Cricetulus griseus: one gene and its partner. The protein of the gene in region 1 purifies or fractionates together with the protein of each later gene. This does not show direct contact. Links are inferred from orthologs where the notes say so. Each region holds a gene or a part of one and is shown on either strand. Other genes may lie near its edges.

The links.
Region 2: the proteins of Nrp1 (region 1) and Plxna1 purify together in Homo sapiens (affinity purification with western blotting; 4 studies listed by BioGRID). This does not show direct contact. The link is inferred for Cricetulus griseus from reciprocal best matches to the Homo sapiens genes NRP1 and PLXNA1.

The regions. Positions count from the first base shown.
Region 1 is NC_048596.1:205,308,196-205,311,986, reverse strand, and holds part of Nrp1 (neuropilin-1), read right to left. Parts: intron 2,995-3,791; coding exon 2,944-2,994; intron 978-2,943; coding exon 688-977; 3' UTR 1-687. UniProt on the Homo sapiens protein: Cell-surface receptor involved in the development of the cardiovascular system, in angiogenesis, in the formation of certain neuronal circuits and in organogenesis outside the nervous system. Mediates the chemorepulsant activity of semaphorins.
Region 2 is NC_048601.1:53,941,905-53,946,463, reverse strand, and holds the start of Plxna1 (plexin-A1), read right to left. Parts: upstream 2,927-4,559; 5' UTR 2,716-2,926; intron 1-2,715. UniProt on the Homo sapiens protein: Coreceptor for SEMA3A, SEMA3C, SEMA3F and SEMA6D. Necessary for signaling by class 3 semaphorins and subsequent remodeling of the cytoskeleton. Plays a role in axon guidance, invasive growth and cell migration.

The DNA of each region.
Region 1 (3,791 bases):
GTCATCAGCGGGACACCCGGGTGCCAGCAGTTTGGTGGCTGCATGGTATGGTATTCTGAATGGAGGTCACAAACACGAGATTCGGTACAACACTGTAAAACATCAAGAAAATCTGTCGGTATTGCTTGGTAAACAGAGCTGACACGCTATATGGGTACTGAGGCCACAGTACTTTGCAGACAAAATAGTCTAATTCTTTTCTCCCCCCCTGTGCTCGCTGCGGGTTAGCGATGCAAAAGTGGATGTTGGCGTCCCCTGAAACGTGGTTACACTAATATGCTCTGGGCACTGGGCTACAGATCACATGTCCATCAAAAGGGCCCACTGAACAATGCCTGGTGCCAGCATCTTGGATTTTGCAGTTTCCGAGAAGAATCCATCACAGGGTAAGGAGAGAGAGGAAAAGGGGGAAGAGAGGATGAACCATGAAGTCAGTCACACTTGGGTCTCAACCGGCTTCTGATTATCCAAACGAAACCAAGAGAAGAAAGCGAGCTGTACATGATTCCGGTTGTTACCAGTCACCTGCTTGCGTCTGTAGGTGACGCTCATTGAAGCTCCTGAGAAAAGCCTGGCATGGCGTCACGGACGCCCTTTCCAGCTTACAGTGAGAGCAGAGCAACAGAGTCCCCGCGCCTCTACTGTCCTCCCACCTCGGTCCTTCGTGCTCCCTCCAGCTCCACGCCTTCATGCCTCTGAGTAATTACTCTGTGGGTTCAGTTTGTCCTTTTTCAACTTGACGCCATCCACAAGTTCAAAGTTATAGTTCTCCAGGGCAGACAGGTTTCTCTCCGACATCCCATTGTGCCAACAGGCACAATACAGAACAACTCCACAGACTGCACCCAGGAGTACCCCCAGAGCACTCATGGCTATGATGGTGATGAGGATGGGGTCCAGGGTCTTAAGCACGTTGCCCGGCTTCCTGGAGATGTTCTTGTCACTTTCCCCTTCCCCTTCATATCCGGGTGTGCTCCCTGAGGAAGGAGACAAGATTGACTCGTGAACGCTGAGAGGCCACATGTGAGGAGACAGAAGACAAGGGGAAACAGGAGGGATCACGGAGCCATTGCATGTTCCAGTGCATGAGGAGTGGAGGGATGGCAGGTGAGGGTGCTGGAATTTGGAGGTGGACACTGAGGTCACAACCTATTTGAAATCACTCTAGAGTGACAGATGAGTTTATAGTTCTCATCCAGAGAGTAGCCATGCGTGAGTCAGGCTGTTTAAAGCCCAGGCTGGCGCAGACGATGACCTTGCATTGCCAATCCTCCTGCCTCCACCGCTTTGGTGTTGGCATTGTAGGCGTGCACCACTATGCCTAATACATATGTTGCTGTAGATTAAACCCAACGTGTAGTGAATGCTGGGTTAGCATTCCAGCAGCTAAGCTACGTCCCCAGCCTTAGATGTGCAGGCATGAAGTTTTCTCAAATCTTGGCCACACAATTAACTACTGTGTTTGGTGGGCATATCTAAACATTCTCCTGACTTCTGCCTGACTTCCCAGGCAGGCCCAGTATGATGCCACTATGAGATGCTGTTCTTAGTGTCCCCGTGGGTTTTTACACAGAAAGTCACAAAACACCCTTAAACCCCAAACTATCTAGTAATACTGGAAGAGAGTTTTTTTGTTTCTTTGTTTGTTTTTTTTTTTCTGAATACACTAATGCCTAGTCCTATCATGCAGAAAGGGCTGTGGCTCCGACCAAGAAACAGTGCCTGCGTTGTGCCAAGTAGAAGACATTTAATCAGTATCTTCACCACCCTGATAATGCTGCTGGCAACAGTCACACTACTCTGGGAAGGAGTCACTAGGGATGTGTTTGCTTTAGAGTGGAACATGAGAAGTTATTAGCATGGGAGCTTTGAGCCTAATTACCTGGTGCTAGGAGCAGGACTGAAATGCTAATGGGCAGCTTGTGTGGTGTTTACTTAATGGTCCTCTGATCAACTGAGATTCCAATCAGCACAAACTAAAAATATGAGATGCGAGTCCCTAAACAAGGGAAAACAAGCCTTGGGGGCATATTAATACTCTCTCCCTTGATGAAAGATTGTTTTGAAACAACTTCTAATAAAGTTTACAGCTGTGTGGACTTGGTAATGTGTTAATATTTCCAACAGCACAGAGCTGTGTCTATTGTCTCTGTCAGTCTGTGCTGGCCATACATATAGAAGAGCCACATTTCCAAAGGCAATAGATGGCAATGGTGCTTCACTGTCCCTGCTAACTGGGAGCAGTGCTGGCCAGGTGGTTTGGAAGCTTCCAGGACCTAGCTCAGTCTTACATCTGAGCACTGAGGAAATGCTAGCTGAAGCCACACATTTTGCAGTTATCAAACACCCACAGCTATCCCTAATTAGCTGTGCTACTTTTGTTTCAGTTCTGTTGTCTGTCAAACAAGAGGGAGCTTGCCCTGTGGAACTGCTCAGAGGGTTCAAGATGATGGGTCTCCACTGCTCCGAGTGTACAGCAGTCCCTTAGGAATTTCCACCATCAATGTCACCCCCAGGCTTCAGGGCCAGGGAAAGGGAGCAGGACAAGATCCTCAGAGAAGCTAGGCTTTCTGCCCTCTTCAACATTCCACCTAGGAGGCGGAACACAGGATTTGTTGGCTTCAAAAGATTACATGAATAGTCTTCACAATTCACCCTTTTGTGATTGTGTTTCAGTGAAAAAGCTCAGGCAGGGAAGGATTGGGCATACTCACTCTGTGGAGTGCAACCTCACAGTGTCACCCCCAAGTCCCCTAGGCAGCTAAGAACATACAGCACTCTGTGACAATGATCGAATCCATGCCCATTCACTTAGACACAGGGACTTATTTTGTCTAAACTGCTTGGATACGCTAGTGTCTGAGGATTTCAGTGACGTTTATTAACAAACAGCAAAAAGCAATAAGAAATTAAAACAGAGGCTGATCAGTAAGATGAATTTACCTGTTTCATCAATTTTAATTTCTGTGTTCTTTTTATCTAGGTCTGTTGGTTCTGACAAGGCAAAGAAAATGGAAAGAGATGTTTAAACCACCAATAAAATAAAACAGATATGATACACGCAAACTGCACAGAAACCCTCCAACCCCTCTGCTGGGCCTCCATAGGAGTACAGATTGCACAGTGTCCCTCTCCATGACTCATAAATGCGGTTAAGACACTGTGAAGGGCAGAGGGACAGGTTTTGGCATGTGGAATGTAGAAGACTGATGAAAATAAGAAACACAAAAGGGAATGTAGAATGCTGGTGGCTGCTTCCTACTGTTGGTGTGTACTGAACTGGACTTTGAAATAGCACAATGATTCTTTGAACTAGGAAACTTCCTCCTGTACTTTATCAGAAATAAATAAAATTCTATGGAAAAAGTGGAGCCTTGGGAATGGGTACAGTCCTGTGTTCTCTGACATGTCCCTGAATTTAAAATCTTGCCTAACACATAATAAGTACTTCGGTAAACTTGTACAAATAAATGCTTCGTATATAGTTAGCACTCATAGCCTCCATGACTAGAATGTCCAATAATATATATTTTGTGAGTAATTATATAATTATACACATATGCATGTGACGGCCAGAGGTTGACATCAAGTGTCACTTCTCGATTTCTTTTCATCTAAGTTTTTGAGACAGGAGCTCTCGCTGAAGCTGGAATTCACTGATTGAGGTGGCCCACGTGCTCCTGGAATCTACCTGTCTCTGCCTACCCACTGCTGAGATTGGGCTGAGACGAGCTAACACATCTATGCCTGGGTACTAGGGATCCCAGCTTAGGTCTTCAGCTTGCTGACTC
Region 2 (4,559 bases), on another chromosome or scaffold:
CAGCAGGCTGTCAGCTGCCTTGTGCCCCTTGTGTCCACAGGCAGACAAGAAGAGAGACACCCCCACCAGCTTCCTACCCCCTAAACCAAAGCAGACTAGACAGCAGGTTGCTTGCAAACAAAACGGGCCTGGGCTGAGCACTGATTCCATGTGAACTCCAAAGAAAACATGAATCACTCACCGTTTATCAGTTCAAAGCAGGCCTGCAATTACCAGGGGCTGGGCTCTCCCCTCCTCCGGGATAATTATACACGTCTTAATGCAATTACGGGCCCTACTTTTTATATTAAACAGGAGGGACCTGGCTGAAGAAGCCACCATCCAAACTCCAGCCTGGCCTTGGGCCCACTCCCCCGCCTCCCAACAGAAGCTAATGGGAAGGGATAGGCCTCAGGGCAGCCGGCCACGAAAGAGGGTATCCCAAGCCCACACCTACCACACACAAAGACTACCAGGGGCTACTTTCTCTAGTTTAGAGACTACACTCAGGACTCAGACAAATCCAAGGTCACACAGCCAGCCCCCGATAAAAAGGGACTAACCTAGAGCTATTGTAGAGACCCCAGGCAGGAAAGGGGCCAAGTCCACTCAGAAAACAGTATGTGCCTGCAAAGCAGGGCCTGATACTGGGTTCTGGGCCAGGCTGGGGGAGGGGAGCAGACCAGACAGGCTCTGGGTTCTGTGAGCTGCCTGGCCACCTTAGCTCCCAGAAGCTCCCAGAAGAGCCTTTGCACCTGCGTTAGAAGAGCCAGGTCCAGTGGATACTGGTGGGGTGGAGGTGTTCTAGAAAGGTAGTGGGGAGAACACACCTGCTGGAAATGCAGATGGGGCAGCACAAATGGTCATAGCTCCCAACATGGACAAGTGAGAAGCTGAACAGGAGGACTATGGTGGTACTGGGTGTGTACAGTACGGACCCAGGGAGAGAGGCCAGGCTTATAGGTGGGGCTTCAGCTGGGGCCACTCTGGAACAGGCCTCCAGTCGCCCACACAGAGCTGGTACCCTGCCCTCTCCCTGGATGACACCATGGTTCTTGCCCAGAAACAAAGACCTCAGAGCCTTCACATGGGGACAGCTTGCTCCCTGTGTCCTGATGGTCTGGAGCCTAATGGGTGTGGACAGGCTGGTCTAGCTGTCATCTCACCTAGTGGTTCCCTCTCAGCAGCCACAGGATTGCTTTGCCTTGTCACCCTGCCCCACCCTATAGGAGGTCACAGGAGATGGTCTCCAATGGCCCAATCTCTTCTACCTGGAGACTTTGGAGTCCTGCTCTCCAGAGAAGGTGCCAGCTTCTGGTCTTCCCTGGAGTCCCATACTCCTGGCCAGATGTGGCTTTGTCCACAGCATCTTGTCTGGCTCCAAACCCAAGAACACATAGCGCAGCCAACCTTGTACAGACCCCCAAGCCTCCACCCATGCTGTCCTCTGTGCCTGAAGACACTTTTGGTGGGCTCCAAGCTGCCACTTCCCCACTGCCTGACAGCTTGGCCCTGAAGCAGAATCCCTGCTTTGCACCTCTGCCCAGGGCACTAGCTGAGTGCTTCCCAGATCCAGCAGACTATGGGCCAGCCTAATGCAGCACCCCGACCCCCTGCTTACCCCCAACTAGAAACTTGGGAAATTGGGGGTGTTCCCAGAGGGCTGGAGACATATAGGGTAGCACCACCCCTACAGGACTGAAGACCGAAGCACCTGCTGGAGGGGTAGGTAGCACCAGGGGACAGGAAGCTGGAGGTAGGAGCTTGGCTGAGGGGCAGAGGCTCAGTTCCTTCCCATCCCCCCCCAACACACCCCTTTCTTTCAAGGGGCGTGGCCCCAGCACCCCACAGATGAGCCTGAGACAGCTCCTGGCACTAAGTAGCCCCTCAGAAGCCTTCTCATCCCCTTCCAGGGCTGCACCTGGGGTCTCTGCAGGCAGAGGGGCCTCCCTGGAGTCTACGCTCGCCCTTCCCCGCAGCAGCCAGAGTAAGCCCACCACCGCCACCGTCCTCGCCGCACACCAGGCCTGGGGCCGTTCAGGAAGCAAGGGGGGAAGCCTCCAGAGAAGGAATGACCCCGTGGAGGCCCTGCGCAGGGGGAGGCCGAGGAGGCCCGAGCCGGCGGCCTCTCTGGTGGCACCGCACCTCCCCTTGAAGCTGCCGGTTGGAGGGCCTGCGGGCCGGGGGTGGCTGCGGAGCTCACTCGCGCTCCGGGGCCGGAGGGGGCGGGGGTCCCCACTAAGCCTTGCAACTTCCACCCCATGGCCCGAGGCCGGCCCAGGACGCAGCCTGGGACCTCCCCAAATCCCGCGGCCCTGCCCAGGCCTGCCCAGCGCGGCGCTCGCCTGCGGCCCACGTCCCCACCCGCGGCCCGGTCCGACCCGGCGCGCCACGGGCCGACATGGGCACCCGCAGGGCCCTCCCCGCGGGGCCACTGCAAACTTTCTCTTCTGCCTGGAGGAGGGGGCCGCGAATGCGACCACAGACATTGCGCCGCCCGGATCGCAGGGCCCCGGACGCGCTGCGACCCGCCGGGACGCGGCAGCCTTTCGCGGAGACCGCGCCCGGACACACGCGGGCGCCCGGCCGGAGCCGCAGGACACGCCAGCCGCGGACACGCGCGCCGCAGTCCCCGCGCACACCCCCTGGCCACCGCCAGCGCCCCCCCAGCCACTCGGGACCCCGGGCCGCGATGAGCCTCCCGCCGCCCGAGGGGAAAGTTGCGCCCCGACTCACCCGACAACCCCGGGCGCGCCCCGCCACCGGCCATCGCCGCGCCCTGCCGCTTGCCCCTCCGCGGGGCCGCCCACGCCGCGCAGGCCGCCCAGGCCGAGGCCGCAGCGCCCGGGCTCCGCTCCGCTGCGTGGCTGCGTCGCCGCTGCCCAGCATGAATGGGGCGCTGAGCGCCGCGCGGCTGCGGACCGGCCTCGCTCTCGCCGCCCGCGGAGCGCTGTGCCGCGCGCATGCGCCGCCCGAAGCCGGGGCGGGGCTGGGAGGCGGGGCGGGACCCGCGATGGCCTGCAGAGGGCGCTCGGCCCCGCGCCGAGAGCGCGCGCGCCGGGTCCCACCGCTTGCCTTCAAAGGGCGATGCCACCCACCTAAGCCTTAAACTCTGGGCTGGTGTGGGGGTGGGTGAGGTGGTCGGGGTGATCCCAGGAGTCTGTGCACTCTATAACGAGCACTGCCTGGAAGCAGAGCTTTCGTCCACGGAAGGGTAAACTGAGGCTGGAAGAAGCACTTGCACGGGTCATATTGCTCATCTCGTCCCGAGCGCCCGATCTCTTAGGTGGGACGGGCACTGCACCTCGCGGGCCCCAGGCGGTGGCACGTGCCAAGATGCCCAAGCTCAGGAACAACTGACCAGTCCGGTACGCGGTCCTGCAGCAGGGCGTGTTAAGACCACCCCAGCAGGGTAGGGACAGTGCCAGGCAGACCGTGGGCGCGGGCTGGCCTGCAGAGCTGGGTGCACCCGGTCTGGGGTGTAAGGAGAACCCGGTGCAAAGCAGCCAGACCAAAGCGAAACAGGCAGCTGCGCGCAGAACGGAACAGAGCAACCACAAAAGGTGGTCGTGGGAGGGGCGAGCGCTGGCTGGGCACAGTCTGGGGGACCCAGTGCAGCTCACCCGGTAAGGACCATTGTCCCTACTTATTCCTCTCCCAGGAAACCATCACCCTCTTTCCCTGTGATCCTTGCCTGGCTTTTTCTCTGGGTGTGACCATTTATATTTTGTCTTCCTGAATGACATATTCTTTTGTGTAGCCTATTTGGGGATGCTATAGAAATGGGGTCCCACTATCCTCTCTGAGAGGAATGCAAGGGCTCTTGGACTGTGTTTGCTCTCACTGTGTGATGTGAGCCACTCTGGCAGTTAAGCCTCCCCTCTGCTGATTCCCTAGGACTCCCCACTCTAGACCCTGGAGTGAAGGGTCCTGGTAGGTGTGTGTTTAGCTTCAGCGGACACTGCAAACTGGTTTTCAGCAGTGAAGTCCCACCCCTCTGCATGGTGGGGAAGTGTCAGTAACAGTGGCAAAGGGTTTGCTTTGATTTGGGCAGGCTGAGGGTAGGCGCTGGTTCTCCATGCCCCTGAATGGTGGTGAGGCTCTTCTCTCACAGTCAATGTGCCGTCTGATCCCACAGCACTACACGCTGAATGTACAAATCTTTGCTGTGCTGTGCCGATGAGGTGGATTGAGACTGCATCGGCCATATGACCTGCCCAAGTACCCTAGCTGGTTGGTGGCAGAGTCTGGAGTCTAGCCCAGGGGTCCAGCTCAGACCATGGGCTTCTCAGTTACACACCTGGTACAGAGCTGACATGACTGCTTCATGTGTCTGACTGTCTGTCCATTCCACAGCCTGACCTGCCTCACACACTCAGTAGTCTACTTGCAGCACCTTGGGGGAGGCAGCAATGTGAAGGCCACTGCTGGCCTGGGGATGTGCTCATCCAGTTGTTCCCTGAGTTGCCTCTGTTTCTTGGCTCCAGAGGCTGGCTGTCTCTGCCCACACCTGTCCCGTCTTCTTTGCAGACCTGTCTTCCGAAGTACCACTTGGCAGGCACTCAGGGTGCTTCCCATTT